Linked DNA regions of Nothobranchius furzeri. The protein of the gene in region 1 binds, or shares a complex with, the protein of each later gene. Links are inferred from orthologs where the notes say so. Each region holds a gene or a part of one and is shown on either strand. Other genes may lie near its edges.

Region 1 (3,512 bases):
CAGGTATTTTTGTGTGTGATCTGATTTCTTCCCTGTATCTCAAATATTAGTAAAGTGTGAGTGTGAATCTTGGTGAAACTGTGAAAACAAAACTAACAACTAATGGTGAGCTGAGTAAAGTTCAAGAATCAAATATATTTGTGATTGCAAAAAAGAAAAGGTAAACAAAATTTTGTTATGCATGAAAACAAAAGTTTATTATGTATTTTTTTAATATCTCTTATTCTTATTAGTCATTGTTTCACCAACATTTTTAATTGGGCTTTATTTTACAAAAATAAATGCAAATTAAAGATGGTGGTATTTTAATGGTGTTTTATTTGTTTTAAGGTTTTAAGACAACAGATGGCTGTGGATGTCCGGCGGGTGCTTCTGGAGGCCCTGCCCCCGCCGGAGGATCCACTGCTGGATGGCCTCTCGGAGCCTACGAGCCTGATCCAGCCAAACATGAGAAGAGGAGACGATGGATCCGGAGATGACCCCTGCAGGCAGGCTCAGAGGCCCTTCCCCTTTAGGGAGGGACCTTTTTGTTTTCACCTAGTGTTGCGGTGAGGAGGGTAGTGTTGGTGTCCCTTTGGGCACCATCTTGGGAGCAATTTGGGACATTTCTTTTTTGTAAAATGTAAAAATGTAGCTAAAACCAGCTAATAATATTTCACAGTATAGACACTGCCACCATATGACGGCAGGTTCACTTTTCCTGGAGCTTTAAGAGGAATAAAGTCCAGTTTTCTGAGGGCAAACACACCATGACTCACCAGAACTTTCCTCCTTTACAGTTTTCTCCTCTGTGGGCTCTACTTCTATTGTTTTCTGAGTTTTCTCCACCCTTACTGGGTGCTCTGGCACCAGTTTTGATCTGAAACAAAAAGAAAAAAAGTAACAGAAATCATATGAAGAGTCTCTCAACAAGTTGAAGGTGAGGCCAGAAGATACTCACAGTCTCTTCTTGTCCACCATTCTCTTGACTCTAATGGCTCTCTGCTCCGAGTACAGATTACAAACGTCTGAAATCACAGGTCACTGGTTTAGTGACGAAGCATGAAACAAATGTGAACTTTTACATAACATGACATCACCTCTCAGATACATGTCTATGATGTCCAGCACTGCACCCTTATGCTCCTTCATCTGGGCTGAAGTCACCTGTTTCTCCACTGTGAAGATGCAAATAAAATATTTATTTAATAACGAAGTCCAGATGCTTTAAAACATTAATCGAAAGTCTGGTACTTTCTAGTTTTTACATCTGAAATAAACACACACCTTCAGTGCGTAGCTGCTTGATGGCTTCCGAGCAGGTCCTCATGAAGATCTGAGCATCCTGGTCGATCTGGTCTCGTTCATTTTCCGTCATGCGATTATGATCGGATGAGATGAGACTATGAAACACACAAAAACCATAAAACTTCTCCTCTGCTAACCTGGGTCAGGGTTGCAAAAAAAAAAAAGGACCAAAATATTCAGAAAAGGCCTCACCCTAAACATAATTCAGTTCTAATTGTTTTCTACACACCTGAACATCCTGCATCGCGGTTATGTTAGGATGAGCATTGCATCCTTGTGAGCTGACAGTAACACAGTAAGCAGGTTTAGATTTAAATGAACCTGGATTACACACACAAAGAATCCCCAACAAAGAAAGCAGTGTAAGTAAACATCCCTTAAATAAAATAACATTAAAATATTGAACATGCAAAATAACATAATGCTGATTTTGGAAATATTTGTCTTAACATGAAGTTGTAAAAATTAGGATTCATGTTTTTAAATTTGCAGACTGGTAACAGTAATGTGCCCTAAGATCCAGCAGAGGGCGATGTGATAGTTCCTCTCCCACACTATTATGCAAAGCTGAAGGCCATTTATGTTGCAGTCTTAACCCAAGGTTATTTTTTTTATTAATGTATGATTTCATTTAGTTCAAATCTATTTTCCATCATGAAAAATGTTGGCTTAAGACTTTTTACTTAAAAAAAAACAGAAGAAAGTTGAAAGAAAAGAGCACCTAATGGTTGGAAGTTAAATCCCTGGATTTGTCCAAACACTTCATGCTACAGCACATCAACCACTTTCATCTCTAATATTTCATTAATGTTCTCCACTGAGGATTTATACACAAATCTGACAGAAGCGGGGGGAGCTGATCTGAACTGCCACACCAACAAAACACAGAGAGCCCCTTGAGCAAAGGAAGGCCAGGATTAGTCCCTGGGCGTGATTTGTTCTACACTTGGTTGCAGCTCAATTATTCCAGACAATTAGACTGGAGCCTGCCTCAACAGACCACCCTACATGCCGCTGACCTCGTGCCAGCAGCCATCACATGCAACTCACGCAAAGAGCATTTGATAATAACCTTGACCTCTGACCTTCTCTGTTTTCTTTATAATCCCATGGTCAGTTTAGAAGCGCTCTGTTGCTACTGTTGATGACTCTTACTCTTTGGAGGGACTTACGTTCCAGCACTCACGTAATCTTTTCGATGTTGCAGCAAAAAGTCTTTTAGCTTGGTGATGTTTGTGATCTGTTGAGATAGAGAGAAAATGCATGACTGGATTTTCTTCCTTTCACATCACTGCATCAATTTAAAGCAACACAGAGCTTTTAACACTTTAAGCTGTTGCTTTCAAACTGGTTTCAGTGATTCTTGAGCCAGAAACTTGAGCAAGTTCACACTGGGTAGCATTCTCCTGATCAGAAACTGCACTTAACAGTTTTGTGGTTCGATAGATACACTGGTGGGAGGTCTCTATCTGCTTTACAGCAATAGCTGCTTACTGTGCCGGTAGCTCATATGAAGGCTAGAGGTTAGCTTCTTTAGTTTGCCAACTGTTAAAAATAGCACAGGAAGAAGAACAAGAAGAACTTTTTTATGTTGGCATTGTGGTGGATCCTGGAAGTAAAAGTAAGGGAGTAATGCCTTTGGAGGCAAAGCTAAGAGCTAAAGCCAGAGTGAACATCAGTGCAGCCTAAACGAGCTAAAGGAGGCTATGAAATCATGGACTGATGGTAACCTGGCTTTGATGCAACTGGATTTGTAAGTCATGATTTTTTTTTGTCAAACAGTGTGGATTTTTTTTTATTTTGTGGCTTATTTTAATATTAAATGGCTTGTGTTAGCAATAGCTCGTTGTTAGCGCTAGCTACAGTAAACAGTAAACCTCTTTAAAACAGTAGAAAGGGGAAGCAGGAAACATATTAGGTGTTGCTTTAAAACAGTTCCGCTCTTTCAAACAGGTTTAAGAAATTATATTAACGGTGTAAACAATTTCCTTCCTTCTGCATTCAAACTCAAACATGCTGAATGTGTCCTTTAATGCATACCAGATCTGACGGGTAATCACATTTGGTCAATCTGACATCTATCTGTATTCTCAATATTTACTTAAGACGACGCATAAACTCCCCGACATGAAAAACCCAAACTAACAATTTCCTTGCGGAACAGCTCTAATAAATAAAAGTCTGGACTGCTGCACACGTAGGACTGACAGCGCCATCTCTAAAAG
Region 2 (3,977 bases), on another chromosome or scaffold:
GAGGCCCCTGAGCCTGGGCCAGGCACCGCCGTGTGTTCCCGCCTTCTTCCCAGCAGCATACAAGTTAGGAGCCAATCCCCAAGGCCCCGCCCAGATCCCCACATGGGGGCCAGCTACCCCCACACCCTTAGCCCCCAGGCCCCCACCCAGACCCACTCAGGGGTGATGCAGCCACCAGGCAGCAACCCATCGCCACCGTCAAGACCCCCCAAGGGGCTCCACTCACAACCGCCAGTAATCCACCCCTCGAGGCAACCCAAGCGCCTCCAGAGTGGGACAGCAGCCCCCCAGCCCCAGACACCCCCAGTGAATCCACCTCCAAGGAACGTCCGGATACTGCAAGCGCAGACCCTCCACCCCATCACCCACATCATCCCGCAGGACAGTATCAATGACAACCCCCCCCCCCCCCCCACACACACACACACACACACAATCACCTCTATGTGATGGAACCGATCAAAGGAGCCCATATAGATTGATTTGAAGTGGAAGAAGAGGCTGTCTCAAGTGTAATATGATCCAACAAAAGATTTATATACTGGTTAATGCAAAGAGTATCTCTATTTTTCCAATTCATGAGGATAGTTTTTTGAGCGACGCATATGGCAGTCAGAACCACGTCAACCAAAGGTGTTTCAATCGGGACATCATCCAGGTATCTTGCTATTCTTTATAGGTAGCCTTGTATCTAAATAGTAAATAATTTATAAAACAATAATTCTGTACAAAATTGATTATTATTATAATGTATCTATAATTTAGGCCCATTATTGTTTTAGGAAATAGCCTGGCTAGAAAATAATGTAAACAGACAAAGTAAATGCACACTAATATAAACTTCGTTCATTTTTATTTAATATTGTAGTGACTAGTAATAGTTTATCTTATTTTATGATGTTTCAGTTGTCTTTTAACAAATGTTTCAAATCTTTTTTAGAAGAATTAGCGGAAAAACTACAGTTCCCAGAGACCGTTTAAAGCTGTCTACCTTCGTGCCTGAATAAAATACGTTAAAATAACTTGTAAGACATTTAAATAGTGTTAAGCATATTGATGGTATTGTCACATTCATCTTCAGTATTGAAATAAATTTCACCGAACGTTTAGCATGTGAATACTTCAAATTTGTAGCAATGTTGTAAAGTTTAGGCACTTGGTCACGAGAGTCGTCATGCGGCAGCGGAAGAGTCTCATCGAAGCACAAGCAGTTGATCCACTTGTGTAGTTCGTTCCGTCCTTTAAAGAAAAAGGTACAGGTGGCCTTTTTATGACAGACAGCGAGATTACATTGACGGAAAATGTCGTCGGAAGAATTTGAGAAGTTACACGAAATCTACAGATCCTTGTATGACGAGCTAAAGCTAATCCCAGAGAAGGCTCTCAGCTGTACCGGAGGTAAATAAACCCGTTGTTCCCTCATTTAACCTCGTTTAAGTGTCAAATAACAAAACCTTCTTGGTTTAAACCTCGAACTTGTTCTGTTCCTAATGCAGAGGAGAGGAAGAGACTGGTGAGGACCTTCGATGAGAGACAGGGGGAAGCTGATGAAGTGGTAAAAACGTTTGTTTACGTCAACATCTTCACTTGTTTCTGTTTGTTATTTATTAACAGTGAGTGTTATAAATAAGGCCAAGAGTTTGCTGTAATTATTACCGCAAAACATCAACATAAGTACAATGACTGGCTGTGATGCTAAAGCTAATGTAGCTGAATGCATCTTGTGTGTAAAAACCATCGACATTAATATATGGACAATGGGTTTCCATAGACTCCAATAACACGTTTTTGAGGCTAAATGGGAGGTGGCCACCACCGCCATTTTGACCGTGTCACAGGTTCCGTCAAGCCCAGACAATTCCACAAAAGGGAAGAGAGGAGGAGCTGAGGGTGGGGCTGTAAGGCTGGGATCAACTGACAACACCCGGTCGAGCTATCTACAAGCTAACCTGAAGCTAACCCAAAGCTAATGCGGATGTGGGAGCTAAGCTATCGGAGGTAGCAACCTAGCTACAACTGGAGTTAACTGTGCACAACACCAGAGCTTCTGAGTCAGAGGTACGCCGGGCTGACCGCTGGGTAAAATACGGTGGAACCCAGAGGTCTCGGAGACCTCCACAAGCCGGCAGCCGCACAGTACACAGAAGCCGCGATCAGACAGATGCGTCGAGCTGCTGGGAGAACCAGCCGTCAGCTCGCTGCAGCAAACAGAAGCTGCGATCAGACAGATGCGCCGAGCTGCGGGGAGAAGTGGCGTATTTTGGCGGTTCTGGCTTGCCATAAGAACCAGCCGTCAGCCCGCCGCAGCACACAGAAGCCGCGATCAGACAGCGATGCGCCGAGCTGCTGGGAGAACCAGCCGTTAGCCCGCGCAGCTAACAGGAGCCGCGATCAGACAGAGATGGACCAGGCTGCGGGGAGAAACAGCCGGCATTCTGGGTGGAAAACATCGGTCTCCCGAGAGCTCCACAAGCCGATAGTCGGAACCCAGCTCCACCAACATGTTATATTTCAACCCATTTTCTAAAGTGCAGCATTGTGTTAAATGCACTGGGTTTTACCCTATTACATTTAAATTTCATGGTTAAACAGTACATGTTAAAATCTAAGCTCAGCTTGGCAGTGACCTAAAATACATAAATATAATTTTACTTACCGAAAAAAATGAAGTGGAGACTCCTTGGACGCTCTATTAGTGCAATTAATGCCACAGCAAGTCATTTTGTCCAACAATTGCACAAAAAATATCCAAAAAAGAATACACAAACACAGAGACTCAAAATCCCGGAACAGTTTCCAAGCCAGACTGAGGCTCTACTGAGGCCTTTCCACGGAGCTAGCTCTGTGGTCACGTGTGTCGGATGCTCATTAATTATACAGAATTTTAGGCTTTTAATACACTTAAACAGAAGAGTGAGAAAAAAAATTCACCCCCCTCAGAGTTGTCATGAGTATAAACTAGATCATTTAAACAAAAAACATGTTTTGGTACCAGGCTGTAAACATGTTTATTTCTGCTGTGAAATTGGCATTTTTAACATGGGAGTCAATGAGGATTTGCTCGTTTCTGACACCAGCCCCCAGCGGATGAGGGTGGAACTGCAATTTCTCTTACTTCCGGGTTGGCCTCAAATTTAAAGCCACATTGTGGGGGCCTGGTAAAAACGCAGCTTTACACTTTAAGCAGAGAGGTAGTGCAGTAATCATTAAATCAAAAGTCTATTAAACTTCAGTGTTAAAAACACAGAGGAAGATGCTTAAATACGTGCCTCACACTGCCAACTTTATTCGGTACACCTTGTATCTGCAGGGTTAGATCAGAACTACCTTCTCTCTTCATGTCATTGATCCAACAAGATGTTGGAAACTTTCCTTAGAAGTTCTGGTCCATATTAACATAACATCACACAGCTCTGTTCATAAGGAAAACCTCCTACTCCACCACATTCCATAAGTTCTGGACTGAGATCTGGTGACCGTGGAGGCCGTTTTTGTCCAGTGAACTCATCGTCATGTTCTAGAAACCAGTTAGAGATGCTCTGAGCTTTGTGACATGGTGCATGATCGTGCTTGAAGTAGTATCAAAAAATGGGTCCATGTGGTCATAAAGTGATAGACATGTATGGTCAGCAACAAGGTTGTGGTACTTAAACTAGGCTCAGCTGGTACTAAGGGGTCCAAAGTGGGACAAGAATGCCACCAGCAGCAGCTTAAAGCATTGATGCAAGACAGAATGGACCCATGCTTTCATGTTGGTGACACCAGATGAATTGAAGCCTCAGTATCCTTTTCTTAGCTGACAGGAGAGACACATTGATGTGGTTTTCTGCTGCTGGATCTGCTTCAGGCATCATCATGTTGTGGTTCAGAGATGCTGTTCTGCAGACCTTGGGAGGAACGAGTGATTGTTGGAGCTGCTGTTGTCTTTTTATTTATTTTTTTACGGTGTCCTGTCCGGCTGTGAAGCAATCAGAATT
Region 3 (4,211 bases), on another chromosome or scaffold:
TACCGAAAACCGTGATAATTTTGGTCACAATAACCGTGAGGTTAAATTTTCACACCGTGACAACCCTACTTCTGAACAAGTTTCAGTTGCTTCACAGCTTTTTTGGGAAGACCAAGACTTGCTGCTGAGAAAAAAGTGAGTTTGACAAACACCTAGAAAAGCTATCAACTCATCGGACTCACATACAGATTTGAGTCTGGAGACTTTGGTGGCCAGATTCTCAGCCATCCGTTTGTTTTCAGCATCCAGCATGTCGTCAACTGAGCCGTGACCTGAACAAGCACAGAAATACAACCTGTCACATTTCTGTGATGGTTTCAAACATCTGCTTTATCACACTAACTAAACGTCTCGTCTGTAATAGATTTAAAACAATGTTAATACACAGATCTCAATAGTGTTAATTCCATTCGTTCGTAAGGAATACTTTTTCCACACAAAAACTAAATGAGAATTGAAATAAAAGGTTGGATTAAAGACTCAAAGGATCAACATGAAACAATGAAAATCCAATGAGAGGACAGGGAAGATACGAAGAACGAACAAAAGAACCAGTCAGCAAATGGAACAGGCAGAACTAGAAAAGAACCAGTCGAAGTCCGAAGCTTGGTGCTGTTTGAACAAGATCCTGTTAAAGTGACAGTGTGTAGTTTTCACCTTTAATCTCTGGAAATATCCACCGAACTGTTGTCGTAAAAGAATTAAAACAGTTGTTGAAAAAATATTGGCAGTTTAAAAACAAGTTACCATAAAGATCTGTTGTAAAATACATTGGAAAGGGACAGAGGGTGTTTCTCAATGCCAAGGAACCTCGCCTTGATGTCTTGACCCTGCCCCGGTTGCCTAGGAGATACGTCATCAGGAGCTGCCAAGACGCGTTCCAATGTTCATGTTCTACCAAGGCGTGTGTTCTCCGTTAGTTAGCTGTTTAGCTAGCTGAGCAAGGATACACAGAAGGTGTCTTTTAGCCTAGCCTTGGCAAAACTTTCCCAGAATACACCGCAGTATTTTCAAAAGCATGGCGGATCAAAAACCGGCAGCTACTTCGGGGGCAAATTTCAAGTTTAAAAGTAAGAGAACTAATTTAAAATGTTTCTTTTTTAGATCCAACGAAGTTATCTATTGTTGGTTGGCTGCTTATTAGTTGCAGCTTCGGTGGCTAGCGGGTAGTAACTTGCTTATATTTTTAATTTAATAAACATACACAATTTTAAAAGTAAACACCTCGTTATATATTTATATTGAAACTAATACGTATAAAATATATCGTTATGTCCCGTTTCATGTGATGTTACATGGCTGTCGTGGAAGCTGCGGTCACGTGATGCAAGTCTGTTCCATTTAAACGTTTTCTTTGACCAAGGAAGAACAGTGTCCTCGTAAGTAAGGCACCTGGCCTAGCAAGACATCGCCTCGCAAAGCCAGGTGCCTTCACATTGAGAAACACCCTGTCACCGAGCGATGCCATATTGGATGCCATGTTTCCTTCTACGGAAGTCTGAGGACAAAATGCATTTACTGATATGTGACAAGTGGTTATAAACTTTGAGCATTAATACACATTGTTGCTTTACACATTTACCTCTTCACTCGTTTAGTGATGAAAGGGAATCTGGTGTTATTTTGATGGAGGTTGCACTCCCAGGGATTTTTGACCCTAAGTGCCATCAGTTGGTAAGGTCTTATTTGAACACAAAAATAATGCTTGCTTGCTGTGATTCGGGTATCTACTGCCCCCTATCGCCAGGAAAACTACACATGGTCACTTTAGGCAACAGCTGAACAATTTATGTCAAAAAAGGAGAGAATGTCCACGGCTGGGAGGAAAAGCATTAAAAGTGATGATCTGGAAAAAAAGACTTCTGGACAGAAAAAAAGCAAGGACACCAACTTTTACTTTGAAAGTGTTATCAGTTAAAACTGAACTGAGATCAGAGTCAGCAACAGGATCAGAACATAATCAGGTGGGAAACAGATTAGAGTGAAACATGCATTTCTTCAAGACGTGACTGATAAAGGTGTTCTGTTTTATTTTTCTGTCTCTGTGGTGCTGTGTGACCTGTACTTACATGTGTGTACTGCTCCGTAGTAAAAGTAACATTTAAAACCTTTTTTATACTAGTGGTGCGTTCAGGAAAGGTTTACTTAAAGGAAACCCCGGTTATGTTCCATAAAGACCATCTTATGTCAGCCAAATTATCCAAACAAAACTAAATATGAAAAGTAAGCCTCAAATCCTGTTTTACTGTTGTTGTCTGCCCTTTCACCATTTAAATGAAAGTCAACCACGAGCTAAACCTCCGATTGTCTTTTCTTTATTCATAATCTGAGAAACGTCCCGTTTTTATCGCTTTATCTGCTTTGCTCAGCGAAGAAGGTGTTGTTAAACAGCTAGTGCTAGCCTCATGCTAGCCCAGCTGGGGGTTCGGGCTCTGAACCGTTGGTTCTGATGTCTGCTGACGTCACAGTCCCCCTCGCACCGCTATAAAATGGCATTTCAACCATCAACATCACAAATAAACTATAAGATAAAAGTGAATACGTGTCCAAATTCAAACCCACCTCTGTTCCAGTCCGCCATGTTGGTGAGCTACGTCACGATCAGGTGCTCAGCCACGTGATCACCGCCAACAGTCTAAGGACAGCTGTGGTAGGTTGTCGTATCATTTAATCAAAACAACCATCTATTGTCTTCTAGAATTTTTTTAATTAGCCAGATTTTCTATTTATTGTTCAGAACTAAAGTTGAAAACATTTAAAAATCATACTTCTATAACAACTAAATGATAAATGCCAAATGAGCAAAGAACACGTTTCTTAAATCAGTCCCTCCCTGACTATACAGATGATTGCAATATTTTGTGATAATTTCAGGTTTAATATAAGTTTAAAGTGACAGTGTGCATTTTCCCTGGCGACAGGGGGCAGAAGATACCTAAAGCAATGCAAGCAAGCAGTATATGTGGCCGTGTTCCAGATAAGCCAGTTCTGTGCAGATTAGATCAGCGGTGATCGGCGAGCTGTGCATGGCGGTTAGATTTGTGTCCAACTTGACGCCGACTTGGTCTGACGTCATGCATACGTAGGCAACGATAACCTCGTGAGATCAAAGTGGCCGCAGATTTTGGAGCAAGGTGCTGCAGTTACTCTCCCTCGGCTGCAAAACCTTGGGGTTGACGGGAAACGCCTGTCTCTCACCTGATCTAAGATCTGATTGGTTCATATTTTGATCCGAACATCCGGTGGTAGAACATAAAATGTTAGTTGGTCACATGTATTCTGTGAATCATGTTATGCTGATGATGACAACAATATAGGCCATAAAGAGAAATGTGTTTTGTGTTCTTTTGTCACGTTTCCTATGAGCACACTAAATCTACAGCTGATAACCTTTACTTATTGTTACAGTCATGTCTTCATATACAATATATGATATCCAGAAGCACGTGAGGATGTGTTTCAGCTGCTAACAGGCACCAGAATTAAAACTGAAAATTAAACAAGTATGAACGCTAACGCGATGTGTTCATCCGGTCGTCACCCATGAGCTACACATGTAGGGAAATTGAGGTTTCCGTTCAGCCCACAGCACAGAAACTGCCCTGATCCGTGTTATGAATGATTTACTTCTAACTGCGGATCAGGGCTCACCATCTCTCCTCCTCCTACTGGATCTGTCAGCGGCGTTTGACACTGTGGACCATACCATCTTACTAAATCAACTCCAGACTGTGGTTGGCCTTTCGGCAACCACACTACATTGGTTGCAGGAGTACCTTACGGGCAGAACGGAATTTGTAGCTTCAGGACAATGTCAGTCATCCCCCTACACTGTAAATTGTGGAGTACCACAGGGGTCAGTTCTTGGGCCAAACCTTTTCTCCATCTACATGCTTCCACTTGGACAAATTTTCCATAAATACAAAATATCGTTTCACTGTTATGCAGACGACACTCAGTTATACATGAAAATGGACTCCACTATACCTAAAACTCTTCCATCTGTACTTCAGGTCTGCCTGGAGGAGATGAGCATAACAGCATGGATGATCGCAAATTTTCTTCAACTAAACAGTAATAAAACTAAACAGTAATAAAACGGAATCTATCATTATCGGCACTCCACATCAAACACATCAAACACAGTCTCTCTCCCTTAGCAGTAATTCCATTTTCGGTCATGACATTCCCCTTTCCTCTACTGTAACAAA

The links. The genes of interacting proteins can lie anywhere in the genome.
Region 2: stx18 (region 1) and vti1b share a complex: the UniProt entries of both Homo sapiens proteins name them as parts of the SNARE complex. The link is inferred for Nothobranchius furzeri from reciprocal best matches to the Homo sapiens genes STX18 and VTI1B.
Region 3: stx18 (region 1) and bet1l share a complex: the UniProt entries of both Homo sapiens proteins name them as parts of the SNARE complex. The link is inferred for Nothobranchius furzeri from reciprocal best matches to the Homo sapiens genes STX18 and BET1L.

Annotation. Positions count from the first base shown.
Region 1 is NC_091743.1:54,512,946-54,516,457, reverse strand, and holds part of stx18 (syntaxin-18), read right to left. Parts: intron 2,528-3,512; coding exon 2,460-2,527; intron 1,383-2,459; coding exon 1,267-1,382; intron 1,158-1,266; coding exon 1,080-1,157; intron 1,008-1,079; coding exon 941-1,007; intron 860-940; coding exon 759-859; intron 1-758. UniProt on the Homo sapiens protein: Syntaxin that may be involved in targeting and fusion of Golgi-derived retrograde transport vesicles with the ER.
Region 2 is NC_091758.1:18,878,211-18,882,187, reverse strand, and holds the start of vti1b (vesicle transport through interaction with t-SNAREs homolog 1B), read left to right. Parts: upstream 1-1,169; 5' UTR 1,170-1,301; coding exon 1,302-1,398; intron 1,399-1,496; coding exon 1,497-1,555; intron 1,556-3,977. UniProt on the Homo sapiens protein: V-SNARE that mediates vesicle transport pathways through interactions with t-SNAREs on the target membrane. These interactions are proposed to mediate aspects of the specificity of vesicle trafficking and to promote fusion of the lipid bilayers.
Region 3 is NC_091754.1:42,729,378-42,733,588, forward strand, and holds the start of bet1l (BET1-like protein), read right to left. Parts: upstream 2,809-4,211; 5' UTR 2,582-2,808; coding exon 2,563-2,581; intron 273-2,562; coding exon 187-272; coding exon of another isoform or gene 183-186; intron 1-182. UniProt on the Homo sapiens protein: Vesicle SNARE required for targeting and fusion of retrograde transport vesicles with the Golgi complex. Required for the integrity of the Golgi complex.